Elephas maximus indicus: one gene and its partners. The protein of the gene in region 2 interacts with the protein of the main gene of each other region in a pairwise test. Links are inferred from orthologs where the notes say so. Each region holds a gene or a part of one and is shown on either strand. Other genes may lie near its edges. The genes, in order: LAMTOR5, GIT1, PPFIA4 and RGS2.

What was found.
Region 1: the proteins of GIT1 (region 2) and LAMTOR5 interact in a two-hybrid assay, tested with the Homo sapiens proteins (2 studies listed by BioGRID and IntAct). The link is inferred for Elephas maximus indicus from reciprocal best matches to the Homo sapiens genes GIT1 and LAMTOR5.
Region 3: the proteins of GIT1 (region 2) and PPFIA4 interact in a two-hybrid assay, tested with the Homo sapiens proteins (2 studies listed by BioGRID). The link is inferred for Elephas maximus indicus from reciprocal best matches to the Homo sapiens genes GIT1 and PPFIA4.
Region 4: the proteins of GIT1 (region 2) and RGS2 interact in a two-hybrid assay, tested with the Homo sapiens proteins (2 studies listed by BioGRID and IntAct). The link is inferred for Elephas maximus indicus from reciprocal best matches to the Homo sapiens genes GIT1 and RGS2.

The regions. Positions count from the first base shown.
Region 1 is NC_064821.1:170,892,014-170,899,107, reverse strand, and holds the start of LAMTOR5 (ragulator complex protein LAMTOR5), read right to left. Parts: upstream 3,017-7,094; 5' UTR 2,943-3,016; coding exon 2,908-2,942; intron 1,378-2,907; coding exon 1,316-1,377; intron 1-1,315. UniProt on the Homo sapiens protein: As part of the Ragulator complex it is involved in amino acid sensing and activation of mTORC1, a signaling complex promoting cell growth in response to growth factors, energy levels, and amino acids.
Region 2 is NC_064837.1:22,374,788-22,381,898, reverse strand, and holds the start of GIT1 (ARF GTPase-activating protein GIT1), read right to left. Parts: upstream 3,006-7,111; 5' UTR 2,797-3,005; coding exon 2,745-2,796; intron 1-2,744. Other genes in the region: ANKRD13B (ankyrin repeat domain-containing protein 13B), read left to right, coding at 6,926-7,039. UniProt on the Homo sapiens protein: GTPase-activating protein for ADP ribosylation factor family members, including ARF1.
Region 3 is NC_064836.1:11,907,112-11,914,973, reverse strand, and holds the start of PPFIA4 (liprin-alpha-4), read right to left. Parts: upstream 3,008-7,862; 5' UTR 2,863-3,007; intron 1-2,862. Other genes in the region: TMEM183A (transmembrane protein 183A), read right to left, coding at 6,144-6,329, 7,791-7,862. UniProt on the Homo sapiens protein: May regulate the disassembly of focal adhesions. May localize receptor-like tyrosine phosphatases type 2A at specific sites on the plasma membrane, possibly regulating their interaction with the extracellular environment and their association with substrates.
Region 4 is NC_064842.1:58,196,112-58,203,128, reverse strand, and holds the start of RGS2 (regulator of G-protein signaling 2), read right to left. Parts: upstream 3,014-7,017; 5' UTR 2,971-3,013; coding exon 2,855-2,970; intron 1,814-2,854; coding exon 1,712-1,813; intron 1,610-1,711; coding exon 1,548-1,609; intron 997-1,547; coding exon 830-996; intron 542-829; coding exon 347-541; 3' UTR 1-346. UniProt on the Homo sapiens protein: Regulates G protein-coupled receptor signaling cascades. Inhibits signal transduction by increasing the GTPase activity of G protein alpha subunits, thereby driving them into their inactive GDP-bound form.

The DNA of each region.
Region 1 (7,094 bases), on a different chromosome or scaffold from region 2:
GCGGATTTGAGCTGCCAGCCTTTGGGTTAGCAGCCATAGCACTTAACCACTATGTCACCAGGGTTTCTGGCACATGGCATACATTCAATAAACAGTAATTGTCATTATCTGGGTTCCTTCTAGACCCAAATTAAAACTATTCAAATACTATTTTAGGAGAGACAAACCTATTCTTTTTTTTAAATTGTGCTTTAGGTGACAGTTTATAGCTCAAGTTAGTTTCTCATACAAAAATCTATACACAGATTGTTATATGACCCCAGTTGCTATCCCTATAACGTGACAGCACACTCCTCCTTTTCACCCTGGATTGCCCATGTCCATTCAACCAGCTCCTATCCCTTTCTGCCTTCTCATCTTGCCTCCAGACAGGAGCTGCCCATATAAAAAAAAACTTGTGTATCTACTTGAACTAAGAAACACACTCTTCTCAAGTATCATTTTATATTTTATAGTCCAGTCTTATTTTTGTCTGAAGAGCTGGCTTCGGGAATGGTTTTAGTTCTGGGTTAACAGAGAGTCCAGGGGCCATGTTTTCTGGGGTTCCTCCAGTCTCAGTCAGACCATTACGTCTGGTCTTTTTACTGGAATTTGAGTTCTGCACCCCACTATTCTCCTACTTTGCCAGGGACTCTCTGTTGTGTTCCCTGTCAGGGCGGTCATTGCTGGTAGCCATGTATCATCTAATTCTTCTGGTCTCAGGCTGATAGAGTCTCTGGTTTATGTGGCCCGTTCTGTCTCTTGGGCTAATATTTTCCTTGTGTCTTCAGTGTTCTTCATTCTCCTTTGGTCCAGGTAGGTTGGGACCAATTGATGCATCTTAGATGGCCACTCGCTAGCTTTCAAGACCCCAAGTGCCACTCACTGAAGTGGGATACAGAACATTTTAATAAACTTTCTTATGACAATTGACCTAGATGTCCCCTGAAACCATGGTCCCCAGACTCCTGCCCCTGCTACTGTGCCCCCGGAAGTGTTTGGTTGTGTTCAGAAAACCTTACCTTTTGATTTAGTCCAATTGTGCTGACTTCCCCTGTATTATGTGTTGTCCTTCCCTTAACCTAAAATAATTCTTGAGTAGAGACAAGTATTTAATGGCAGAACTTCAAGGACCAATTTTACTTTCATAAATACCAATTAAAAAATTTCAACTTTCTAATCTTGTGATTTGGAGATTATCTTTACTCTCACCAAACTACCCAGAAAAGGTAAGAAACAAAACAAGAAATAAATGCTACAGAATAATAGCACACTAGGCTCCAAGTCAACATCAAATGCTTTGCAATTCACCAAAGGGTTGGTGTGAGATACTTACAACCCAGATTAAGTCCTTGTGAATCTGTGCACAGGACTCCAACAATGGACGGGTTCTTCATTCTAGTTCCAGAATCACAGGAAGGATGAAACATATGATGTGAGAACATGAATTTAAATAACTAATTTAAGACATACAGGCTTCCTATGTGCCAGGCACTGTTGTAAGTGCTTAAAATTGGTGTTTCTCAACTTAAGAAGAAAAATTATTATCCAGCCCTCACAACCCTACCTCAAGGAGAAAAATTAGGTTAAATTAAAATGAATTATGAGGCACTGGTGGTTCACTGGTGGAATTCTCATATCCCATGTAGGAGACCCAGGTTCAACTCCCAGCCCATGCACCTCGAGGGCAGTCACCAGCTGTCTGTCAGCAGAGACTTGCATGTTGCTGTGATGCTGAACAGGTTTCAGCAGAGCGTCCAGACTAAGATGGACTAGTAAGAAAAGTCTGGCGATCTATTTCTGAAAATCTGCCAGTGAAACCCTATGGAACGCAATGGAACCAATCAGCAACTGATTATGGGGATGGTGTAGGACCACACGGCAGTTTTGTTCCTTCATGCATGGGGTCCGCCTGCAGCTAACAACAACCAAAAAAAAAAAAAAAAGCCAAACTCATTGCCGTTGAGTGGATTCTGTGACTCATAAAAATTAAAAATTAATTTAAATGAACTTCTCTGTAATGAAAGTTTTTTTTCACTCCTGTTAAAAAGGCATGCTTTAATACATTAATTCATCTAAAACAACTGTTGAAAAACTATTATGTTTTAAATAACAAGGTCTAAGCAACCATGTTAACATGGGTTGCCTCCTGGAGAGGAAGTGGGAAGCTGCGGAACATTGATGGGTGGAACATGTTTATAAGCTTTCTTATGCCTTTCCATTTGAAGCTCCCATACACACAGCAGTTATCCTCTAGTGGACTGACTCATGGCGACCGTATGTGGGCCAGAGTAGAACTGTGCTCCACACGGTTTTCAATGGCTGATTTTTCAGAAGTAGATCACCAGGTCTTTCTTCCTAGGCATCGCTGGGTGGACTCGAACCTCTAACCTTTTTGTTAGCAGCCCAGCACGTTAATGTTTGCACCACCCAGGGACTCTGAATCTCACACAGATGCTACCTATTCGAAAAAATGAAGAGATGTCTCTTAGCTTCTTCAGCACAAAGTTACTGATTAGGTACGCAATCACTAGGAGACACCTGCGTGTGTCTATATTTCAGGACTCGATTTTGCTCACGTTGTACATCCTTATCAAAAGTGAAATCTATTTCCTAAAGCTCCTGTAAGAACGACCCTGGACATAGTACAATTTCAACAACATGACAGCTGATTTTGGCCTCCGGCTTGAACCCCGGAGACTCGCTCCGGGGCGGGATGTACGGCGGGGGACTGGGAAATATTAATTCCGGGTTACCAGCCCCGCCCCTAAGTCCCGGGGCAAGGTCTCACGGCCTCATCCTTTGTCCAGGGCTTCGCGCGGCTTCCCCAAAACGCCCTGATCGGCACTCGCAGCTCACGCCCTTTGTTCTACTCCAGCCGCCCTCGCCACGACTTCATAACAGGCCGAAGAGGCCCCCACTACTCACGTGTCCTCCAAGTGCTGCTCCAAGGTCGTCTCCATCCCATCCGCCGTCAGCCCCCGGCCTAGGACCTCGGAGCACGTCGCTTCCTTCTCTACTACAGGCTTTAAGCACCCCGCAGTCACATGACACAAGCTGAGCCCGGATCTGGATGGTGCCTCCAAAGGGTCAAAATTGATGGCGGCGCGTCGTCTGCGTTCTTAATCCGAAGTTGCTATTCTATTCCTGCCGTCCTGAGTGGTGACAGGCGTGGTGACCCCGGAGCGTCTCCCCTCGGGAACCGTGCGGGTCGATTTATCCTCTATCCGGGAGAGAGGTCAAGAGCCGGACCTCAGTGCCTCGGTTTCTTGGCCTTTGTCTCAGTGATTTTTAATTTTTGGATGACGGTTCGATAGACTCCGAGACCCACTAAGGACCGGATCTAGTTTAACTTTCACAGTAACCCGGCCAGTCAGTCAGGGTCTGATCTAGTCGGTGGGGCCGGTACGGGGAAGAGAGACCGCTGTGAAAAGGCCACAGGCGTGTAGGGGAAAGACATGCGCTCAAGGGACTGAAGGACGAGATGGAACCGGGGTAAAACCCCAAGCTGGGTACTGCTAAAGGGTCTGCGTTTTAATGAAGACATCAATACTTCTGATGGGAGGGCGTGGAAAAGTTTGGGAAGGAAAGTGGTATCTGAGTCCTAACTCGTGAAGAAGACTGTGAAGGGCTACTTAACAGTAACTTAAAAATTTTTAATTATAAAAGTAGTTGTAAAAAAAGAAAAGGCAAGGAAATCACCCATAGTCTCACTATTAATCCCATGAAGAATATTTTTTTCAGACGTTTGTCTTTGCAAATGCATATTTTATTTATTTCAAACAAAATTGACATACGTACTGGACATACAATTCTGTAGCTAGCCCTTTTGACTGAATTTAGCATAAATTTTTGTCATGTCAATTTGCATTCATTTACATAGTTTCTAATAGTTGTAAAATATTCCATGGTATAAACCAAACCAAACCCAGTGCCATCGAGTCAATTCCGACTCAAAGCGACCCTATAGGATAGAGTAGAACTGCCCCATAGAGTTTCCAAGGAATGCCTGGCGAATTCGAACCGCCGACCCTTTGGTTAGCAGCCATAGCACTTAATCACTAGGCCACCAGTGTTCCCATAGCTGTACCTTAATTTAATTAATGTACAGTGAGGCTGCCTATAGCTGTGGGTGTATGCGTTTTGGCTATCCTAACGCTGAGCGAGTATCCCTGTAAGCCTCTACCCACTCCTGTTCTTAACGTCCTCCTCGCTCTACTTTTCCTCCAACTATCTCATTAGAAAATGTAAGTAGTGACTACTTGAAGTTAAGCTTGTGCCAATTGAACTCAGGAAGCCCGTCTGCTTCCTGTCCAAGGCGTGCTCAGAGAAGCGCCTCTCTGCAGTACCGCCCCCTTGTGGTCCCATGCTTTGTGACAACTTAGCTGGTCTAAACCCAAAACCAAACCAAGCCCATTGCTGCTGAGTCGAGGGCTTCTCAAAACCCCTCAGAAAACCAAAACCCCTTGCCCCCTAGTGGATTCCGACTCCTAGCGACCATATAAAACAGAGCAGAACTGCCCCACAGGGTTTCTAAGAGCGGCTGGTGGATTCAAACTGCAGACCTTTTGGTTAGCATTCTTAACCACTGCACCACCAGGGTTCTAAGGGCTCTGATTTTTAAACCCCAGAGCAGTGCAGTCTAACAGAAATATAATGTGAGCCACACATGTAATCCTAAATGTTCTGGTAGCCACATTAAAGAAAGTAAAACGTGAAATTAATTTTAATAATCTATTTACTTAGTATATGCAAAATATGATCACTTAAACATGTAATTGACATAAAATATGAATATTTTTCATTATTTTTTTTGTACTAGATATGGTGTATATTTTACATTTTACATTTACAGCATATCAGTAGCCACAGGTAGGTTAGTGGCTACCATATTGGCCAGCACAGCTCCAGGGTGTCTCTGATGATCTCAGAGCCAGATGAATAATTAAAGAATTCCCAGAAAGGCTGGTGATCACTTTTAAGCTGTAGGGAAGGCCTTTGGAGGGAAAATGAGAAAGTAGGAAGAGGGACAATAGCTGGTCCATACATCCTTGCCACACTGAAGGGGGAGGACAGGGCGCTCCACACACCCTCCTCTGCCCTGCTGCTCTTCTGCTCCTGAGCAGGTAGACAGAGAAAACAGAACAGCTGACATAAGCTGGGGAGGAGGTATCTGACCCCTAATTGTTTTCTACCTTTTTTTTTTTTGGCTTGTGGGATATTTGATGATTCTTTATTCTCAGTTTTGAGTGCTGGTAATCATTTCTGGGGTGACAGGAAAAGTCCCATGACACCTTGTTATGAATTTGAGATACTTACTTAAAACGGAGTTACATGGGCACTGGATGATAAGTCTTGGTTCAACAAGAGACCACACAGAGGAACTAAAAATAACAAGCTTAGTACTCACAGGTCTTGGGGGGAAGGACACATAGGGTGGTTGTGTCAGGGGCAGAGGGAGAGCAGGAACCTGGGGTTCAGGCCTTTATTAGGGCCTGAGGGTGGGGTACATTAAGGTTTCTGAGCTTCTGTTGGATTGGTCAGGTTGAAGCAAAAGAGTGGAGTCTTGGGGAGGCTGGTGGGGATCTGATCTAAAAGGGAGCAGGAGGGGAGTTGTGGGGAGTTGTTGGTCACACGGGCTGCTGGGGAAGCCATATCAGGAGCTGGCATGAAAGGGCAGAGTAAGTCAGCCAGCTTGTTGTTCTATGCTGGACACGATGGATGCCAGGGCAGCAACTGAAATGGAGTGTTAGCAAAACTCATGACAGCCCACCCTGTGATGCCTCAGCATCGGGTATTAAAATTACATTTATAACTTGAGTGGCCGAAATACTGAAAGACATTAGTATAGCTTTTTATAGCCATTGTAGGGTGCACGTAATCAGAGCAATGAGCAGGATAAATAGGCTTGCAATAATCTGGAAGCCAGTTTGTAGCCATTGGCCCCATGTAGATGGGGAAAGCCATGAAAACAGGTTTGAAACCATGGAAAGTAAGGATTTGTTGGAATATTTTTGTTGTATTGTGCATAACCTTACTATGTTGAGATATTCCCTTGAGTAGTGTGGCCACTTGCCCTGTGTTATTGATGTACATACAGCACAAAGTGCCTTGAGTGGAACACACTCCTACTTGACTGGCCAGTAGGTAATCTAGGGCTAGTCAGTTATTAATCATTTCTGAGCCAGGGAGTTATGCCCTTGCATGGTCAGTCCTAGTATTTTGGGTTTTTTTTTTTTTTCCATGTATGCCATTGGAGTTTGGGACATTTCTTGATTAGCTTTGATAATTAGTGATTTGGTTGCTAAAGCAGCTACTCCAGTAGCTGTTCGCACTACTCCTAGGATGATGACCATTCTGACAATGATAGGTACAAATATAAGCCAAAACCAAACCCACTGTCATCAAGTCAATAACCGACTCATTGCAACCCTGTAGGACAGAGTAGAACCACCCCATAGAGTTTCCAAGGAGTGCCTGGTGCATTCAAACTGCCAACCTTTTGGTTAGCAGCCTTTGCTCTTAACCACTATGCCACCAGGGTTTCCAGTACAAATATAGCTCATCTATAAACCCCTTGCTGTTGAGTCAATTCCGGCTCATAGAAACCCGATAGGACAGAGTGGAACTGCCCCACAGGGTTTCCAAGGAGTGGCTGGTGGATTTGAACTGCCAATCTTTGGGCTAGCAGCTGAACGTTTAACCACTGCCCCACCAGCTCACCTATGGCAGGGCTCATATGTTGGGGGGTAGCCCCAAGGTATGGGAAAACTTGAATAGGAAGGCCAAGGGTCATTGGTGTACAGTGTACCAGGTGCATGTAACTGGGGAAAGACAAGCTGAAATATAATAGTGCCTCTCCTCTGATGTTGGGGCCACAATAGATTGCCAAGGTGATGTTAGCCAAGGCATACTATTCTTTAGCTTGTACCCAGATATAATCAAGGCAGAGGTTTGGGAGGATGGCTGTTGTGGGCCAGATGACGTTTTTGGAGGGACAGATGTGGACGGACAACATAACAGTTCGTGTGGAAATTTCAAAGTCCTGCAACACCTTGATTTTGCCAGGATAGGTGCAGTTGTAATTGAGGGGAACTGAGTGGAACAGACTTAAT
Region 2 (7,111 bases):
GGCATCTTCATCTCTGTGTCCAGGGCTGCCATAGTGGAAAGGTCAAGATGATTGGCCCATGGGTCAGGAGTAGGCCCCTGAGAGCCGGGCTGGGGCTGTGTGGCACAGTAGGTGGAGGAGGAGGAATGGGGAACACTTCCCAACCCCTGCCCCTCTTGCGGAGTCTCAAGGGCAGGCAGGGATGTGCCTGGCAAGAGAGCAGCCATGCCATGTTCAGCTGCTTTGCCACATATTCACGCTGGTCCCCTGTGCCCAGAACTGAAAGCAGAGGAAGGACAGGTCCTTTAGGCTGTACCTCATCTTTCACCTCCATGCCCCCTAAAATTAGCCAACCACAAAAAGACTACCACCCCACTCCCAGGCTGGACTGCAGGACTCCTATCACATTGATGAGTCTGTGACCCTGGGCGGGAAGTGCACAACCAAGGCTTGGCCCTGGGCCTGGACTCCAGATTGCCGGGTATCCTTAGCTCTTACCTGGGCTGCTATGGTACCTGGAGAATACCCTCCATGCCAGGACTAATGTTGTACAGTGGGAGTACGGGATAGTCCCAAGCAGCCAGCCCGGGTCCTGACAAGCATCCAAACACCTGGGGAGTGCCTGCTATGTGCCAGACACCATAGTAGGTGCCAAGGTGCGGTGGTAAGACTGGCAGCACTCTGCCCACCTCACCATCCTCACTTTCTCATCACCTGCCTCTTCCTGACCTATATTCTGGTTCAGGGGGAAAGGAGGTACCTGGGGCACAAATATTTCTGTCAGGGACAAGGACTGAGGACACACCAGCTTCCCACCACTCCTCCCCAGCCTACTGGGCACCCAGAGACTTCAGGCAAGTACTCAGATGCAATGGAGAAAGGACAACTGCATTGCTGACGCTGCCCTCCGTCCCTCTGCCCCAGGGTCAGGACCGCAGACTTGGAGATGGGTTGTTATTAGTTGCCACTGAGTTGGCTCCTACTCGTGGCAACGTTACGCACGGCAGAAAAAAAAGTTGCTCAGTCCTGAATCATCTCCATGATCTTTCATGTGTTTGAGCCCATTACTAAGATTATTGTGTTGATCCATCCTGTTGAGAAATTTCTGGAGATGGGAGGACCCTCAAAAACTATTTCTAGTCAAATTTCTTTGCCTTACAGCTGAAGAAACTGAGGCCCAGAGTGACGGAAGTCTAGTCAAGGGTTACAGAGTAAGCTGGAAACAAAGGCAACTCTAAAATCCAGGCTCCCCTTAAGGGTCACCACTAAGCTCCCCACAGTGCTTCTTGGTGCCCCACACTATGCCCACCCAGTAGAGATGGCAAATAGCCTGGGACAAACAAAAGACAAGCTCTCCTCTTAGCCCTTCCATCCCTCAATCTGCCCGCAGCTGGGGGGAAGGGGTTATAGTTTTCAGTCAAAAAAGGGCAATGGCACCCTACCCGATAGCTCCTCCAGGGCCCTCCAGACTATTACATTCCCCCAGAGGAGGCCTCAGGGTCATAAGCACCCACAAAGCCCTCATGCCTGTGCCCTGACAGGCATGCACCATTTCTAAACACTCTAGCTTGGTGCAACGGGAACCACCAGAACATCTGTGGGGCTCAACCTGTTGGGGTCCCACCCAAGGGGTGGCTGGAAGTTACGAGCACACAGAACATCATCTCACACCCACACCCTGAATTGTGCCTGCTGTCACCCTGGAGTTCAGAGACTCCTGAGTCTTCTCAGGAAGACAGCTCCTTTTCTAAAGAGAACGGACAAGTGTCAGGGCTTCCTTCCCCGGGCTAGCTGCTGAGCTCCAGCACAAGCACATCAGAAAGGAGCAGCTTCTGAGGTCACTGCCCCTCACTTCCTCAGGAGGCCAGGGGGGTTCACACTAGCCAGAACCCAACTCTGCTGGGAAGGGAAACACCTCAGTATACACAGCCAGGAAGCAGGCCAGGAAGCCAACCTGATTCTGGGAATTTGGCACCCCTTGCCACTGCCCCCTACCTGATCCTGGTCAGATCCTGACTAGGGGGCTGGGAGGGGTCTGTGCCCAGGCCGGGACAGTTCCAAGCCCACCTTCCCAAGTAGGCCTCACTGGTGAGCAGGAAAAGCCGAGTCCAGCTGTTTCCAGTCACCAGCAGACCTACGATGTCTCCAGGGAAGATGCCCAGGCTCGTACTGACCCTGAACACCAGGCCTTACAGGGGGCCCCAGCCTTAGGAGCCAGAGGCAGGGAGCCCTAGGAGTAACCACCCCTCATCTGTTCCTGAGGAAACAGTACCAGGGCCCCACCGCACATCAACCCAGCTCTCTGCCCCTTGCCCTCGCCACCCCGGCGGGAGCGCAGACCATGCGAGCAGCAGGTGCAAGGCGCGGGGGTGGCACTGAGATGACACAAACCACCCTCGCCCTCACCTTCGAAATCCTCCGGGCCTTCGCCACAGCCCTCCTGCCACCCCAGGCTGGAGCTTCCGTTTGGATACTGAGATGGAGGTGTGGGGGGGGGGACAGCTAGCTGCCCGCCTCCCTCAGGCTGAGGGGTGGGAGGAGGCGCCGGGAACGTCCTTCCCCGATTGTCCACGGACGCGAGGGGACAGGGGGCCCCCAGGCCGGCCCACCTGCCAAAGACGCGGCTCCGCAGTGGCCCGGGCGGGGACGAGGCCAGAGGCCGCAGCCCCCCGCCCCACCCTCCGGCCCCGCATGACGCTCCCGCCAGGCCCCGGCGCCCGCCCGGCGGCGGCCTCTGTGCGCGGTCCCGCCCCCGGTCCGCTTACCCAGTGCGCTGCAGTCCGCACACACCTCCGCTCGTGGCCCCTTCCGGGACATCCTCAGCGGCGAGGCGGCCGCAGCCCTCTGGGCCAGCGTGGGGGGCGCGGGCGGCGGGCCCGGGCGGCGGCGGTGGCCCCTGCTGCCTGGCCCGGCTCCCGCAAGGCCCCGGCTAGGCTCCGCGCGCCCGGCCAACCGTTCGCCGCTGGGGCCGGCCCGGAACCCGCGGTGCCCGCCCGCTCGCCCTCGGGCGCCCTCCGCCCCGCGCCGCCCCGCGCCGCCCCGCCGCCGCTCGCCGCTCGCTCTCTCCGCCCCCTACGCGGCTCCGGGCCGCTCCTGCAGGAAGCGGCGCAGGCCCTGCCCACCGGGGGAGGGGCAGCCCACCCCGCCCGCCCCGCCGCGCCTCCCGGAGAAAGGAAGCCGGGAGCGCGGGCGGCAGCGGGCGGGGCCGCTTAAAGGGGCCGCGGTCCCTCGGCCTCGCCTGCGGCCCCCGCATCTGCTCCGGCGGCCCCCAGGCCCAGAGGCAGTCGGTGTGAGTCAACCTCGCAGCCGCATTCCCTACGCTTTTGGGCGGAGGGTGGCCTAGGGACGGTGAGCTGGGTTAGGTTAGGGGCCAGGGAAGAGGGAAGGCCTGGAGGCCGATGCCCCCTCCCGGTCAAAGAGCTGTGGCTTGGCGTACCCGCTCCTCTCAGGTTGGGGTGAGGTGTGCGTCTTGCTGGCCCCCATGTGCCCACGCCAGTGTGCCAGTGTGTATGTGTGGTCATACTCTTGCTGAGTGCACCACCCCCTCCCCCCGCCAACAATATGGACGCCCAGGTGCAAGAGAGGTCAAGCAGTGTATCCCCCTGCCTCCGGGCTAAAAATACCTTTATCACTCCCTCCGTGCTTTCACCCGGAAAGGAATGAATTGGGATGCTTTTAAAGACCTCCCAGGAGGTGACCACTGTGCCTTGTGTGCGGAATAGCCCCTTGTCACCCGTCGTGTATACCTCCATCACAAATGCGTCTAGGGTGTGTGCGTACAACATACACGGACCGTTTCTTGTGACGGTCTTTCTTCCCATACTTGTCACCGAGACATGGCAGGCAGGCCCGAGGGGGGAGGCGGGGGACAGGGAGCCGAGGCGCAGGCCGCACGTGGGCGCAACCCCGCACTGAGCATGCTCCCCGGTACACGTGTGCCCCGCGTGCACCCAGCCCCCAGCCCTGCAGCGGCACAAGGCCAAGGCCCTCGGCTTGTGAGCAGAGGGTCGGGGGTGCGGAGGACCAAACTTGGGGACCAGATCTGCGGTGGCAAGGTTAAGGGAGGGCTTCCCCAGTGGCCGGGCGTTCTCGGTAACCAGGACGGGAAGGGAGCCTTTGAGCAGGCGTGACCGAGTTGGTCGATTTCTCCCAGCGGTGCCCGAGCAGCAGTGACTTGTGGGTGGGCAGGCTGCTTCCCTGGGGGAGACAAGTAATGCTCATGAGTCACACCACCCGAAATACACGCAAAGCTGCCTCCATCGCCTTTCGCTGCAACCCAGATTGACAAGTTTGTTTGAAATCGCGATCCACGGGTATATTTATAATCGCACCTTAAAAAAACCTTCTTGCAGGCCTCTCCTCCCCCCTGCCAGCAGCTCAGCTGCCGGGGCTTTCTGTAAGCAAAGATACCTCGCGGGGCTGGAGTGTGTCAGGAGGGGACACCACCTGCCGCCCCATGCTGCGTCGGCATGGAGGAGTCCGCGGGCTGAGTGGTCCCAGGTCAGGCGGCCGGAGGAGCTGCCTGGCCGCCTGGATCCGGCACGCAGCCCACGAGCGGGGCCCCCTGCTTCACCCCCGATCGACCCTCAGCTAAGAAATTTCATTTATTAAATGTCGAGGTGGCTCCTGGCAGCCGGGCCGCTGGGCTTTGTTTCTCTGGTGTGTGGGTGCGTTTCGAGCACGTGGCAGCCGGAGCGCGCAGGCCAGAGGGAAAGCCGGCCTCAGTTTACTGTCCACGATCGCCTAGAAAAGAGAGCCCGCTGCCCAGGGGGCGGCCCTCCCCGCCCCCCCCCCCCGGCTGATTCCCTTCCTTGGGCTCCAGGGCTCTCCAGGGAAGTAGACTGATTGACCTCGCTTCCCGCCCCATCTCCAGGTTGGCCCGGGGACCACCTGGGAGTGGCCCAGGCACCGATCCACTCTCCAAACTTTGTTTCGGAAACCCCGAGCCCCTGCACAGCCGAGTTTCTGGGATTGGGGTAAGGGAGAAAAGAGTTTCTGGATTTCCCTATGTCACCACTACCCGAAGCAGGGCAACTAAAAGAAAATGAGACACAAGGTTCTTAAAACAATTTAATGAGGAAATGTACAAGAATCCTCACAGCCACTCCTGGCCGCCCCTCCCCGCGGCCTAGCCCCCCTCCCCAGCTCTGGCCGCCGCCACGACACTCTGCTGACCCCTTGTGGCCGAGGTGGGCCGCGGCCTCTGGCGGCCGGAGACGCCAACTGGCTCCTCCCAGGCTGGAGAAGCTGCGAGGCACTGCGCTCCTCCCTCATCTCTTCCCGCCGGGGCCTGGCACCGCAGGGTGTGGAGGAGGGAGAGGAGAGCACACAAAAACCTGAGAGAGGCGCGGAGAGTTTGCAAGCATTTGCTGGCACCTCCCACACAAACACATCTTGGGTTGTTGTTGTTCAAGGTGGGGGGGGGGCTGGCGTGGAATCCCTCATTCCTGCCTTATTCTAAGGTGGGCTCAAGAAGGCACCGTGCCTGGTCCTGCCACCTGTCACAGTCGGCCTGGTTGGCGGAGGGAGGCGCCGTTTTGAGGGCAGTTACTATCCTTAGCTCACCCAAGGAGGTAGTATCCAGAGGCTCATTTTAGAGGTGAGTGGCCTCGTAAACTCAGAAATATTAAGCAATTTGAGTTAGTCTGAATTAGAGCTCAGGTCTTTCTGACATCACAGCCCCGCCTCTCCCGGCCTGGGGCCGAGCCTCCAGGTCCTTCCAGCCCTGACAACAGGCAGCCCCAGAAGCCAATTCCACACTTACCACACCCTCTGCTGGGCCGGTTCTGGAAGGGCCTCTCTGCCCTGGGGTCACCCAGGGAGGAGACAGTCTCTGGAATCGGCTACTTCCTCTCCTGAGGGGACCCCATGGGGTGGGGTGGGGAGCTGCCACCTGCTGCTTTCCCTGCTCAACTCCACTCTAGTCGTAGTTGAGGACAGTGCTGGGGGGGGTGATCTCACCTGAGTGGACATTTTCTTTCCAATGTCAAGTGTGCAAGATGGAGTTGAATGTTCTAAGAAGGCAGGGAGGATTCCTAAGAAAAATCTCAGGTGCCAGACCCCTGGCTGCCCCAATGACCCTTAGTACAGATGCCCTGCACCCTTCTCGGGGATCCTGCATCAGCCGCTCTCTTCTGGGTATCTGGATTCATGCTCACAGTCCCTGGAACCCACGCTCAATCCTGAAGGCCACACACCGCCCTTCCCTCAATGTTCAAGGGAGCTCTGCAGCCCCTCCGACCCCCAACAAAGGGCAAAATCAAGTGGGTGGGGGTGCCCCCAGCCCACCTGGCGTCAGGACGCTGCTCCCGTTTCTGTCAGGCCTGGCTCCTCCCCAGCCCTTTCCTGGGAGCAGGAGGACAGTGTGGTACCCTCCCTGGTCCCCTGCCACCCCCAACTCCACAAGGCAGACTACAAGCCCCATGATGCCGCGGGGCCGGGCTACAACAAGCTCTGCCCTGGGTACCCGGGTCCCCCTCCTCTCTCCTTCGCATCCCCACATCCCTCGCCGGCCGCTGGGGCTGAGGGCCGGGCTATGCGGCTGCGAGGAGCCGGGGGCTGCGGGCGCGCGTCCCTGCGGCGGCGGCGTCCCCGGGGCCGGCGCCCCGTGCGCCCCCGCGCCCGCTGCGGGCGCCTGCTCCCTCCGCCGAGCGGCGTCTTTGTGTGCGGGGGTGTGGGAGGCGAGGCGCGAGCCCGCGCCGCGCAGCCGAGTGCCCGCTCCCTCTCCGGGCGGGTGGGGGCCTCTCCGCGCCTCCTCGCGAGGACGCCCGCCGCCCGCACCGCGCCGGGCGCGCCGCCCCCGCCCGCCGGCGCCGCTCGCACATGCCCGAGCCGCAGCCCTGCGAGCAAGCAGCGCCGGCCCCCCGCCCCGCGGCCCCGGGCCCCGGCTCCGGCGCCGTCCCTCCTCCCGGGCCGGGCGCCGCGGCCCCGGCATGAGGAGCGGGCGATGATCCCCGCCAACGCCTCCGCCAGAAAGGGGCCCGAGGGCAAGTACCCGCTGCACTACCTCGTGTGGTACAACCGCTACCGCGAGCTGGAGAAGGAGGTCCGCGCCGGCCAGGTGAGAGCGCCGTCGGGGCGCTGCGGAGACCCCGCGGCCGGGCACGCCCGCCCGGCGTGAGGAGGGGGCGCG
Region 3 (7,862 bases), on a different chromosome or scaffold from region 2:
CAGATACACACCAAATCCTTTAAGAGCAATACAGAGTGGCTTGTGACCAGACACTCACCCCTGGCACAGCCTGGGGTCAGTGCTGAGCCTAACCTGGAGTAGGACCAACTGAATGAACCGGCGACAGTTTCTCCTCCAGCTCTCTCAGAATGGAGTGGCCCAGCCAAGGCCTTTCAGCCCCTGACTCCTGAAGGCAGGAAGCTGCACTAGAAGTGACTTCATCTGGGAGACTAGAAGACACTTGAGGGAGGTGCAGGGGCTGCAGGAGCCAAGCCTCTCAGAAAGCAGAGCAGTGAGCTAGGCAGGAGTCCTGCTTCACGCATGGCTGGTGAACGAGGGGCTTGGCGAGCAGGGGCTCCTTAGGCCCTGCCCGGCCCTGGAGTTCTGGACCATAGCGGATCACAGCGTCTTCCCCCATAGCTTCTTCCCCCCACCAGCTCTGTGTACTCTGTGTACTCTGAGTTCCCTCAGGCCCCTCCCAGGACAGGAAGTGCTGGAGGTCCCCTAAAAGCAGCCCTGCTCGGAGTATGCTGAGTACCACAGCACCTCAGAGTATTCTTTGCTCCGCCAGCCACCTATAGTGCCACACTTGTGCAAGCCAGCACCACATGCCCTCCAGAGCTAATTATAGGTCAATGAGATAGCAGGTCAGAGTGGGGGACAGATGGTGACTTCATGTGGCTGCAATACACACTTGCCCCTCCCTCCTCTGATCGCACTCCCTTCTCTCCTATTCTCCCAGCTCTGTACCTGGGACCCAGACTCTGAGGCAGCTTTCATTCCCTCAGGCCTGCCACTCCCCACCAACTCCCCCTCTCCAGTACTCGGAGCACATGCACACGCACACACCACACACAACACACACAAACATCCATGCCAGTCACCACACCTTGTTTCTATGGCAACCTATCCACCAGACCCAACACATTTGGCCTAAAGCCCCAGGGAGAGTATCCCTGGCATAAAAATGTCTCGGCTAGCTCCCCCATATCTTAAAGGCCCCTCAGCACAGCACCCAGTTCCCTGGCCCCACTGAACTTTCACCCCTGCCTCATCATCACCACAGCCTGACTCCTCATCCTCTCCCCAAGCTCCAGCCCTGCTTTCTTCCTTGGAGGACCCACAAACAATCCCTGACAACTCTTTCTAAGATTTCAGCAGTCAACTTAGAGGGTGACCCAGGAACCTGGCCACCTGCCCTGCCTGGCCCTGCCCCTCCAAGCCCTCCTGACAACCCAGCTGCCCGAGAGCAGACACGCCACACTCTGACATCATGAGACTGCTCAGCAGCACGCACTCAGACACCACTGGATGAGCTTTCCTGTCCACGCCCTCTCCCCCACGCTCTGCCATCTCCCGGAGATGGCAACTCCTCCATGCGGGGTTCCAGCGCATTCTTGGCCCCCAATAACCCTGGAGCTTAGTCAACATCGCATTCCTTTGAGATACCATTTATCCAGCCTCCTCAGGCCTCAGGACAAAACCCTTGAAAATAACCAAGGGAAAATCACTCCAACTGTCCTTTTTGCCAAAGCGCCTCCCCTGGGACTACCTGGCCAGTTAAGAGTGGTGTGAAAGGTGAGCTGGAATCCAGTTCAGACAACTGTTTGACAGCATGCAGACAGGCTCTGTCTTTCTTTTTCCAATCCAGCAGTGATGTAAAAAATTGTGTGCTGCGGGGGATGTTACACACAGGGGTACCTAATATGGGGTACCTTTCAGTTGCCCCATGCCCCTAAATTGCCTTCAGAAGACCCAGCACCTAATACTGTCTGGCATATAGCAGGTGCCCATTAAAAGTTTGCTAGATGCTAAGCAAAGTTCTAAGTGCCAGTTCCAACAACTCTACAAAGGACTGAAGGCAGTCCCTGCAACCTGGCTCCTGGAGGGGCCCCTTTAAGCCCACACCAGTTGGGGATCTCCATGCTAAGCAGGGCCTCCTCCTTAACCACCTGCTCCCCACACAGAGCAGCAAAACTGCAGCCCAACTCCTCTACCGCTCTAATGGACACTACCAGCACACCGCTCCTCAAAGATGACATCAGCACCTAGTGGCACCTTGTCCTGGATCCCTCCTCCCTCCCAAAGAAAACCACCCACACCACATCTCCAAGTCCTCCAACCCGGCCTCTCTCTTCCCACCCACCATCAAAACCGGCAGGATCCGGACCGGAAAACATCCCTGCTGCGTGGCTTAAAGTAAGCTGCCCACTCCCACTCTTCCCGTTCAGGAATCTCTCTGCCAGCCCCTTTTTCCTGTTGCGCCCACCCCCACTCCCACCAGGCCTCAGGTTGGCCACTCCTTTCACCCCACCGCTCTGGCACTGCGGAGATAGGGCATCTCTGGCAGCGTCCGAGATCGGCAGTTCCAGGAACGGAGAGCTAGAGACAGTAAACAGGGGGTGTTATGAGAAACGAGGTAATGATTAAGACCCCCGGGAGGCGCGAAGACCTCAGCCCCCAGCGTACCCAAAGGAGCGGAACCGGTTTAGGAGCTCAGAGGCGCTTTTCTCTGGCTCTCCTGGAGAGGAAAAGGAGGCGCAGTCCACCCAGTTCCCATAGGGAGACTCGCCAACTCAGCCCCCTTCCCCGAAGCTGATGGAGCTGCGGGCAAACTCCACGCCCTCCCCGCAAATCGGGCATCGCCCCCATTCTCACACCCAAGGGCACAGGGCACTGCAAAGGCCGAGGAGGGACCGCGGAGGGAGCAGTAGCGATACCTCCAAAGATGACACATCGAAGTCAAAGGGGCTGTTCCCCAAGGCGCTCAAGACAGGGACCCCTACCCAAACTATCGGGGGAGAGGGCTGGAGGTGGGAAAATGAGGCAGCCTTTCCCCAAACCCAGGCTCTGGGTGCTCACCTGCCTGTAATCACCGAAGGCCGGGCAGCGCGGCACGGCGGCAGCGGGGAGCCGCCCCCGACCGGGGGAGCCGGACACGTCCTGGAGAGCAGAGCTGGCGCCCAGCTATCTGCAGCCTCCGCCGCCGGAGCGCTCGGCCCCGAGGCCCCGCCCCTCCCACGCCATAGGCCAAGGCCCCACCCCGAGGCCACGCCTCCTGCCCCGGGCGCTTCCCGGCCCGGCACGTGACCAGAGCGCGCCTTGGACGACGCTCGCCATGTTGGTGAGGCCTTGGGCGTCCCTACAAAGTGGGGGCGAGCCAGCGTCTGACCCAGCAGGAATAGGAACCCGGACCCAGTATCCTTCCCCGTGAAGCTGCGGCCCTGGGGGCGACACACATCTCATCCCTCCTGTGGAAGTCACCCGTCCCTAATCAACCACTGGTTTGACCCTGGCCTTGTAATTGTTGCCAGTGGTTTGTCACCTTTCAAATCTGCTCTCTTGCCCGCCCATTTTTTCAGTGGAGAAGCTTGAAATTCTGATAAATTTCTGTAGTAGGCACTTCCGTGAATTGTGCTGCTTGCCTTCAGGAACCTGGCTCTTCTAACACTGTTACTATAAAACGAAGTGTTTGTCTATCATACATACATAGTATGAAGAGTCTCAAATGCCGAAATTCCTGGCTGACATATTTTGGCTAAACCTCTCCATCTTCCTGAATTATTCCTTACCCTGTCCCCTGGAGCTATTAATGCATCTTTTGCGTCTGGTTTGTGAAAATTCATCACAGTGCCTACTCAAATCCTTTAAGACTATCCAGTAAGCACTGCTAGAAGTGTGAAGATTTTTATGTGTGCAATGAGTAGCTATGTATTTATAGATGTATACACATTTTTGTATCAGCAGCAGATACTGTAATTGCAATCAGTGACACACTGAGCCTTGCTTTCATTTATTTATTTTTTTTCCTTTCCCCCAAAATATTCACCTTTTGGCTTAGTTTCCTTGCATCTTTGGAAGGAGGCAGGTAAGTCTGCATAATTCTGATTTATTTGGGGGATGAAAAGTGAGGCTAAATTTGTGTTATTTGACTTGTCTGACCCACAGAGCAAAATCTCAATATATATATAAGGAAGTGAAAATTATAAAGCCATTTTTAACCTGTAATCCAGAAGTTCCAACTCTTCTCCAGGTGGTCTGTGGTTCTCACCAAAAGGAAATCCCTGAGACATTTCACATCCTTTTTACTAATAAATGTGAATCATCCTCAGTCTAGAAAAGGTAAGTCAGCCAATGCAGAGGGAAGACTGAAGCCACAATAGCCATCATTGGTAAGACACTTCACCAAGCACTGTCGATATTGTGCTCAGAGGACGGCGAAGGCAGTAGCTAATATTTTATCTATCATCTTACCATGGAGTTTGACACAAAAACCCAGAAGTTGAGTCAGAACACAATTATTAAGTCAGATTTATTTCACTTCCTTTTTAAAGGTAACTCCTAAATGGGGGACATACAATCCACTGGGACAACTCCCTCCCGTTTCATGGATCTTCAGTTCAGGAGCTAGGGGCTCTGTGCTTCTCTCCTCCTGTCTCAAAGAGGCAACTTTGGATTGTAGACTTGCAAGGTGCTTGCTGCCCCCTTAGGTTTTTTGGTTCCTTTTTAGCATTTAAATGCCCAAATGCTGTTTTTCACCGACCCAGACTCACTTTCTGTGTGAACAGCTTTAGTACCACCCTCAGTGAGGGGTAAGCTTAGTTGTAGCTGGTGACCAGCAGCAGTATTAAGCAGATGCTTCCTAAGAATACTCTTTAAATAGCTAGGGGTAGAGAGACTGGTAAGGAAAAAACAACATCCAGATTTGGTAGTCTGGCTCACACTAACAACTACCCCCAGAAGAAGAACACCATCTTAATGCCCAGCTCACTGGTTAACTGGCGGGGGCGGCGGGGGGGGGGGGGGGGGTGCGGCGCAGGGAGAGCAAACAGCCAGGTTATCTTCTTAAAAAAGCCTCCCATGACCAGCTTCTCAGAGTGCACCACCTACAGTAAGTCCTTCGATCACCCGGAGGACATCAGCATTTCTGCAGGGACAAGAGGCCAGGCCGCTGTGGGCACACAGGACGGCAGCAGAGGCAGCACAGTGCAGTGCGGAGTGAAGGACAGTCACTAACTGCTTATGGTTCAGGAGGCTGGAGTCTACATGGGATGTGTTTTTTCAAATGCCCTTCAGCCTAATAAATGCCTTTCTAACAATTCGGTTCCTTCCTGCAGTAACTTTCCTGGTTTGTTCTACATTTTAATTAAAAAGAAACACATATTTACAAGTCTCCTTCATCAATCTTATATATACCTCTCAAGCTGATTAGGGATAAGGTATACCACAATCCCAGTTTTACATACCCTTTTACTTTTTTTAAATCTACATTGCCGCCTCCCTTTTACCACCATCTGTCACAAGAAAAATGAGACTGATCTTTTTCATTGTGGTGGAGCAAAAGGAACATATACAGACCTGGGTCAGGATCCTGGCCCTGCCATTTACCTGCTGTATGGCCTCGGGTAAGTTCACTGATTCAGTTTCCTCACCCGTAAAATAGACCAGTATCACCTACCTTGCAGGGTGGTAAGAATTATTACAGAGCTATTATGTAAAGTTCCTAGCACAATACCGAGGGCACAAAGTCACTATCATCACTACTATCAACCTCATGCAAAAAATATCTAAAATCCAAAACAGGCAAAAGGACATTTACACATAAATATCCAAAAATTATTATTAAAAAACACACACACACACACACACACACACAGAAGTCAATCTTATAAGATTCTGAAAACCCTGTCACCTACTTTATTTCTGGAGAAGGGTACAGGGAGAAGAGAAAGTATTCAATTGGATTTGAGGGGCAGCTAAACTGGAAGCAACAGCAGCAACAATTTTAGGCCTCTCAGGTTCCTCTGATCCGTAAGGGAATGCTGCCACTTCCCTGTTTAGAGAGTCAAGAATTTAATTTTCCCCTAAAGCAAGACCATCCATTTTCACTGGGATAAAAGAATAAAGAACAACAAACTCAATAGCACCAAATGGGATTTTAACGCAAAAAATAGGGCCAGGTTTCTCCTCTCAAATGCAAATTTTACATGAAGGTATGTTTATAAATCATTTTCCTCTTGACTCAACCCCTCTCCCTCCCCTAACAGAGCGTGCCACTAACCAGATATACAATCCAGCTGCCAAAGTGGAATCTGCTTTCTAATGGTCTGGCCTAGCCCAGGGCAGGCCCCAGGGAGCTGTAACTAGGCTCTCAGGGAGAACGGATACTGAGGGTGCCACCAGTCAAAGAGCCGAACGCTGTGCACTGGGTCAAGGATGACTTGCACACCCTGTTCACTGCGCAGTTTCCGACCACCGTGGACAGGAGAATCCTGGAACACCAATCTCACGCGATGGTGCCGCATGTCCGTGCTCACGTTGATAGTAAACTGAGAGGGAAAAGCAAATTAAACAACCTTGGTCTCCTATGGCTCACTCTGAAACAAGACATTCCAGACATCATTTACACTAGACAAAATTAATCTCTGGATTATAATACCAACACCTTTGAAAATATATAAAAATTTAATGTGGTTTTTATAAATTCTTCTCAGCGTCACATATTTAAAGAAAGTCCCATAAAAGGTTGAATAAACTGAGATATATCCACATAGACTATCGTTAAAGGCAATTTTTAAAAATGGAGTTAGAGCTTTAAGAGATGACTTGAATGGATTTTGATTATTATTGAGCAAGTCAAACAAGATGCATGTAAGTATGTACAACCTGATTTCATTTTTTTGGGAAAATAAACCACGAAATCCCTAAATATGCATGTCAATATACAGGTCTGTCTAGGATTATGAGTATGGAGTGCAAGGAATATGTACATATATAACTAGGTTGTTAATGTGGCTTAACCTAGAAGAAGGGACAGGGATCTACAATAAAAACTGCATGTATGACACCATCCCAGTTATGCATAATTATTTAAGAGGGTATATACATATATAACAGATACATTAGAGAACAGTACCCAAAAGGTTAACTGCACTTACAGGGTAGGGAGGTTTAAGTTACCTTTAGTATCTTTATATATTATTTAAATCCTTTGTAAGAAGTATGCATTATTTATTTTACCAGGAATAAAGTTTTTCATTGTGGAGAGGGAACCCTGTATATCACTGAACATACGCCTAAAATAGAGAAGACATATTACATGAACTCTTCAATTGCCAATCCGTTAAAATGTTTAAGAATCTGGAAAATATGCCAGAGACATACATGTTGTTTACTAATCTAATTCTTAGGTAAGCCTTGAATAGTTAGAGCATCACATAAGGGCCAAAGGTGGCCACCCTATATTTGAATATTCCATTTATGACACTATGTGCATGCCCCACGGTCCTGTCATACACTGCTCAGTATAAGCCTTGTCATCACCCCGAAAGGGACAATGTTTCCCATTCATTAACAATCACTAACGTGAAAATGCAAAAACATTCTCCTTCAGAAAAAACACTGCTATAGAGAAGGAAAGAAGGGTAAAATTTTCTCAGGTATCATTAACTTCTCCATAAATCTGTTCATAATATACAAATCTGATATCAGACTTTTTTTATGATTCTTCAAAGATTTCTTCACTGCACAAAGCTAGGAACCCTGGTGGTGCAGCAGTTAAGCAATCAGCTGCTAACCACAAGGTCTGCAGTTCGAACCCACCAGCCGCTCTGAGAGAGAACAATGGGACAGTCTGCTTCCGTAAAAATTACAGCCGTGAAAACCCTATGGGGCAGTTCTACTCTGTACTATAGAGTTGGTATGAGTTGAAATTGACTCAATGGCAATGGGTTTCTTTTTTTTTTTTATTGATGTAAGAGTTGAGGCTGACACCCTGAGTCCCCACTTACCAGGGTAAATATCATTCCCATGACAATTGGAATAAAGATGAAATTGAGGGTGGTGACCTGCAGCAGGCAGCA
Region 4 (7,017 bases), on a different chromosome or scaffold from region 2:
CCAGATCTACTGATTTTAAATGCTTCTGGACCAATAACATTACGTTGTTATCTTCCATCTCACATTCCTGCTTCTCCAGCATGAGACACACCATGTCCAGACCATGATTCCTTCCCTGTGTCCTCTACACAGTGATGGAAGCCATCCTGATACAAGCTTCTCCTAGACTGTCACTGGCTTTCTGAGTCACTATCCAACTTTGAATCAATAATTATTATGAGTGATAGTTCCTGAACACCCAGGCTGAATTCAAGGTCAGTCTTTTGTTTTCTTGGCAGGTCACAGCCTTTCTCCTTAGGGGGGAAAGAAAAGAAATATTCTCCTTTCATGGGCTCCTTTTTTCATCTCATGTAGCATGGGGCACTGTGGTGATCTGTGGCTTTTTACACAAGTCCTGGTAGAATTCTGACTCCAAGAAGCGGGGATAAGCGTTGTTCTCCATCAAGCTGTATACTCTTTTCTGTGCAGTTGTAAAGCAACCACTTGTAGCCTCTTGTATATTTTGGGCAATTAGAGTTTTGGTTTGAAAGTCTATGTTTATCTGAAATAAAACAGAAAAATATTTTACTGAGTATTGGTAAGTACAGAGATTGAAATCTATTTAATACATGAAAACAAAAACAAAAAATTAGCTTTTTTAAAAATTAGCTTCACCAAGCAGTCACTGGAAAAACTCCATTGAAAGACAGAATGGGGTTGGGCTGGGTGGGAGGATCCTCTTACCACCCCTCACCCACTCTTTTAATTTGGAGTCTCTTCAACTCTTATTTCACTTTGGTGCTAAGGATGTTCAAAAATGTACTGAGATGAATTTTTTTTTTTTCTTTACCTCTTTTGGAGCTTCCTTTTCTATGAAGTCAGTATATATTTTCCTTGCTTTTGAGGACAGCTTTTGGGGTGACTTGGTTTTTTTGAAATCTTCACAGGCCAGCCAGAATTCAATATTTTCTTCACAGAATTCAGATTTTAAAAAAGCCCTGAATGCAGCAAGACCATCTGAAAGAAAAAAGGGCATGCAGATGTGATATTTTTCCTAGTGCGTACCCGCACTGTAATTATTTCTAAATGATGGTAATTTTCTAGATTTCACTCGTACCTACAATCCTCAGAATTTCCCTCTTTAAAATTTAAAAGCTAAGATGCCAGTAGGCAAGCTGCTTAAATTGGCACACTGGTAAAAAAAAAAAAAATATGCAAACTTAATTTTGCTGTCAATACAAAATAAGTATTTAGAGGGAAGCCATAAATTCTCTGGGAACTAAGCCTTTTGAAAACACTGCAATGGAAAAGCTGACTTAATCTTTGCTAATAGCAACTGTCACTTTAATTTTTTTAGGCTAATTTTTCTTCTCCACCTGGAGTGAATAATATATGCATTTCCATGGTTAAACACTGGAAAATAAGGGACAGAAAAATAGGTCTTATGCTATAGTGACTATAATTTAAGTCCCATTCCCCTCAGGCCAGCTGCTCTTCTGTTGGGTGGACCTAACCTTAGTGAACTCCTGAACCACCTGAAATGGATCAAACTCAAGAGTGTAACTTACATTTACTGGCTAGCAGCTCATCAAACGCTTCTGACCACAGCTGTGCTTCCTCAGGAGATGGCCTGCAAGAGAGGTTCTGTAGATTAGCTTATGTGCACCAGAACTTCCCTTTTTGGTCCAGCAGCTAGCAGCTCCTATTACCAAGTACAGGGTTTTCAACTTACTTGATAAAAGTTTGCTGTTTGCTTTTCTTGCTGGTTTTGGGCTTCCCAGGAGTGGAGGAATTTTGTAAGAAGTAGCTCAAACGGGCCTTCCAATCTTTTAACCTTAAAAAAAAAAAAAAAAGGCCATTTACTAAGTGGCAATGCTTGAAAATGCAGCTACTGCAGCCGAATGCATTTTTTTTTTCCAAATAAAGTCTCCCAGGAGCTACAGACAAACCAAATAAAATCAAACAGGAACTCTCCAAGTGAGACAAGTCTCACCCTTTTAATGTAATGTACTGAATACACAATTAGCTTCATTCATTTACGTGAGAGTAACTAGCAGTTTTATAACTATCGGCAAGACTATCTAAAACCACTCAAGTATTTAAACGAATTAAATTTGTGTTGTTCCAAAGGCAGCAGGTTTCTCTACAAGGCGAATTACAACTACGGTTGTTTCACGCTTGATGAAATCGCCTCCGGCTGGGGATGTTCATTTTCCTCGACGGCACTGGGTTTCACCGTGAAAGCAGGAGGCTCTGGACAACGCCAGAGGCTGCACACAGTGAGGTGCGTGTGACTATCTCCACGCCCCTCCACCCCCCAACGACGACGCTCATTTTGAGCAAATGCTGCAGAGCAATAATCTGTTCCGCAGTCTCAATGAGTGAGATCTACTCTTCTACTAAAAACAAGACTGGATTTCTATTCAGAACCAGCACACACAGCTTCAGCCCTGCAGCTGTGTAAGCTGATCAGAACTCAATGCAACGCACGACTGCAGGGGACATGCTTCAGCCGCAGGATTCTCTGATGGCATTTTAAATGCAGGGGAACAAAAAGTCAACCCGCAATATCTTAGCGCATCTACCGCCGTCCCCAGACACCACATGTAGAATATTCCTCAGTTCCTAAACTCTAACGGATCGTCCTTCGGTCACGTAACAAAATAAAACTCTACCCCCGCCAAAAAAATACCAAAAAACATATTTAACCTTAATTTGCCAGATTAACCTTTTCCACCCTTTTCCCGCCTGTGGAGACCCGAACTACCCAGTTTCCTGCAGCCGAGGCCGAGACCGAGCCCACCGCGTTTGCAGCAGACCGGGGGAGCTAGCTCCGCAGGGGCAAGGGCGGGAGGCTGGAGAAGACCGTACTCACAGGGTTAGCTTCATCTTCTCCCGCTTTTCCTCGCTCTTGGCGCCACTGCCTGCGCTCTTGTCCACTGGACCACAGTACTCGTGCTGGACAGCCAGGAACATGGAACCTCGCATCATCCTCTCCCCACACCGGCAGCGGCTGCTGGCTGGCGGGGGCGCCGCGGCCTTTATAGGAGGCCAGGACCCGATGGGGAGGGCCGCCCGCACCAGCCCCGCCCCGGAGGGCGAGGACTGGCCGTGTACGGGGCCCGGGGGCGGTGCGAGCGCGGTCACGGCCGCCCACGAAGGGTCTCGGGAGCCAGGGCGCAGCCGATGCTGGCGTTGCCCGGCCGAGCGCGCGCTCGGGCCGCAACGCGACCCGGACCTTTCCCGGGAGCCGTTGCCGGCGACCTGTGCCCAGGCGCGGGGCCGGCCGGATGGGCTCTGCCGCCTCCGGCGAGGGCGGGGGGCCGAATTAGCCGCAGGCCCGGCGCGGCGCGCCTTCTCCCCGCACCCACCCTGACGTGCCCCTGGATCCCCGAGAGGGGCGATGTTTCCCCATCAGGAAAAGGTGCTTTGCTGCAAACTCGAGTGCAATCGCCTTATTTCCAGTTAACATGGATTGGCCATCCCCCTGCCCGCGCCTCGTTTCTGGCTTACAGTCCTGGTCCTGCTGTACCGACTCGCCCGAGACCCTTGGTCTGTAAAGTAAACCGGGGCCGCCCGGAGACCCTCGCTCGGTCCTCTCCTGCGATTCTGCTTCAGCCGGGGGAGGAAACGGTGACAGCCCCGGGGCAGGTGTGCTGGCTGGGGTTTGGGCATCTTGGAATACTTAGGGGAACGAACATTCGTCAGGTGAGGAACAGGAGAAAATGACTCTTTCAGAAGACAGCGTTTTAACTGGGTTTACTTTGTGATCTTCACCTCTAGACTTGTGGCTTGGCCTATAGGGTCCGTCCTCAGGATTTCCTGGCTTCTTCTCCATCCACAACAGAAATCACAGATCTCGCCATTGTGTATGTGCGTGAGAGAGGAAGGAGAGGGAAAACGCCACACTTAGCAGATGGAATGTACTGGAATCATTCTAGTTTAAGAACGTGGGAATGGATGATTTCTTCGTGAGTCATCCTTAGTTGGTTTAGAGTTTACCAGAATACTTAACTGGCAAAAAGTAGCAGAAAAGTTAACACTTTGCTTAAATAAGTTGTTGATTTTCCAGAAATCATCTGTCCCCTCCTGCAAGCTTTCAAGTGACTTGATGGGTGAGGACAAACATTACTTTAGCTACAAAATGATTTGATTTTAGAGAACAGCATTGCCAGAACCTAACAGTGGAATATTCAAATGGTTTCCCCATCAAACCTCTAATTAGACAGTAAGCTTTACAGCAAGATATTGATTGGGTTGCAAATATTCTCCCTATTTTACACTAACCATTAAAAAGCCAATAAACCAAACCCGTTGCTGTTGAAGCAATTCCGACGCAGGCCTGTAACACTGGGACTAGTTACCATGTTTTTATGCTGAGCTGCCAGTAGTTGGAGCTCCAGCTTTGACTTGGAGAGGAAAATCTGCAATTACTACTGAAGAGAACAGTCATGTACTTTATTATGGAAACAAGTAATTTAGATTTCAGTAAAAAAAAAAAAAAAAAGACTTTAAAATATGTTTGTGAAATGTAAGACTAATTTCGCTCAAGCATATAGTCTTCATCTGTGCAGGAACTGCATGGTGTTTGCTGTATGTTTTTTTCACTTTCTGATGAGTCAATACTTATTTATTAAATATGTACAATATGCAGGACACCTGCTTTTTCTCACTTATCATTTCGAACCTTGCATGGTGAAATTCCCATTACTATTCACTCATAGATAACTCAGGAGTTCTGAAAAAAAAGGCAGCAGGGAGAGAGAGCTGGACTTGGTGTCAGGAGACCTAATGAGAGTCTCAGCTTACACCTTGATCCCCAGTTTCTCACCAATAATGAGAATAATGTGTCTTTCTTGCCAGTCTCATGGGAAATTCCTTTGTAAATTCTAAAGCACTATGGAAAAGTTTATTATTAACTTGTATGTATGTAGAAAAGGAAATGTTCAGAAGTACAGCTATTCAAGTTGAAAAAAAAATCATAGAATGATTAACTCAGAGTTAATTAGGCTATAAATGCATAACCAAAAAAACCCAAATCCATTGTTGTTGAGATGACTGTGACTCATAGTGACCCTATTGGACAGAGTAGAACTGCCCCAAAGGGTTTCCAAGGAGCAGCTGGTGGATTTGAACTGCCAACCTTTTGGTTAGCAGTGATAGCACTTAACCACTATGCCACCAGGGTTTCATACATGCATAAGTACTACTAAAACATCAGTATAATGCCTCAGAGATTTATAAAGTATCCAGCTGATAATAAATACTTAATAAATGCTCCCCGGATATAACAGAAAAATAAGTAAAATAATTAACATTTGAACTTTTCAGAGATTTCAAAGCCAGAGAAATTAAATCATCACAATATATTCATAAAAGTGAATGTATGCAAAATCCATGTGTGCAAATAGTTGTTTAAATATAGACTAACATAGGTTTTAAAAAGTGTTCAATTATTTGCGTTTTCCATAAACCCTTTTCAGATCGACAGCTTATGTTAAATGAGTGAAAATTAATTTTTTTCCCTGAAAATTAGGACTTTTAGAACTTGTTTGCTAATTCTGAATGTAAATACGGTTTATCATTTTGAATCTATGGGTAATTTTAAGGATTAATCCAATACCTATTACAGACGAAGAAATCTTTTTGTGAAAATAGTTGCCATGTTAACGTTAATGACTTTTGTAAAGACTGGCAGGCATTACTGCTGTATTTAAAGGGAAAGCTTACAGCATTGATTGACTTCCCTTTTGTGTTGTTTTGTTACAACTGGCTTTTAGGTAAACGGGATTGCTCAATATGAAGATGATACACATTTTCCATTATGTGGTGGAGGAAGAAACAATGCAATAGGCTGTAAAAATTGCACAGCAAAACCACAGGTTGAGAGTGGCTGATGGACCACACATTTTCTCTGTTGAATCTACCATGCCCTCTGCTGGAGAGGTTCTCTGAACACAGGCGGGTTCTGAGGGTGGATCTTAAACTTTCTGTAATATTTAAAAACTTTAAGTTACAGAAAGGGACAAGCAAAAAACAAAAGTTTCTAGCATTACCAAAGGGAAATATGAAAAGCAGAAGTCTCCCGTGCCATATTCCACTCTTACCCTCCTGCTCGTTGTTGTGTGCTCTCAAGTGGCTTCTGACTTGTAGCACCCCTACAGGACGGAGTAGAACTGCCCCATAGGGTTTCCTAGGCTGTAGTCTTTCCGGGAGCAGATCACTAGGTCTTTTCTCTTGCAGTGTGTCTGGTGGGTTCAAACCACCCTTTCATTTAGTGGATGAGTGCTTAACCGTTGCACCACCAGGGTTCCTTATGCTAACTATTACTAACCAAAAATCATTATTAATGATTAACTAAAAGTATTTATGCAAAATAGCTCTCAGATTCATGCTTTGAAAATTTAGGAATCCTGATATATACTTTTTTTTTTAAACACACAAAAAAATCATACCGTGGTGACGGCGCTGCGGGTATTACTCTGGGCTTTGTTTTTCTCAGTCAGTAAGATATCTTAGTTCTTGAATTTGTGAAGATTATAAACTTGTTCCTTACCTCATGAAATCTGAAGTCTGGAAAGTTAAAAAAAAAACCAAACAAACCAAAAAACAAAACACCTAGGAAACTAAACCCTGAGTGGCGAATGGTGTGATGAGTAATTGGAAAAAGTGAAAATGGTTATTACCTAGTTGTGGATCATATTTGAGGAAGTGTGACACACCTGTCCTTTTTTTCTTGTCTAATTTAGCTTTAGTTCATAATGTTTTTTACCAACTGAAGCATGAACATATGGTGATACAAGATTCTGTACCCCACCCCAACACCTCATATGCACAAAGCTTCAAAATTCATGATTAATATTTTCCTTAGAATGCAATTTGTATACCCGGAAGCTGATTAAAGAGAAAGTTTGTGTTTTTTTTGTTTTTTTTTTTTAGGAGTTAATAAGAGTTTAAACATAATACTTGACATGCATTATAAACCCAGACCTGTTGGCCATCAAGTTGATTCTGACTCATAGCGACATATAGAAAAAA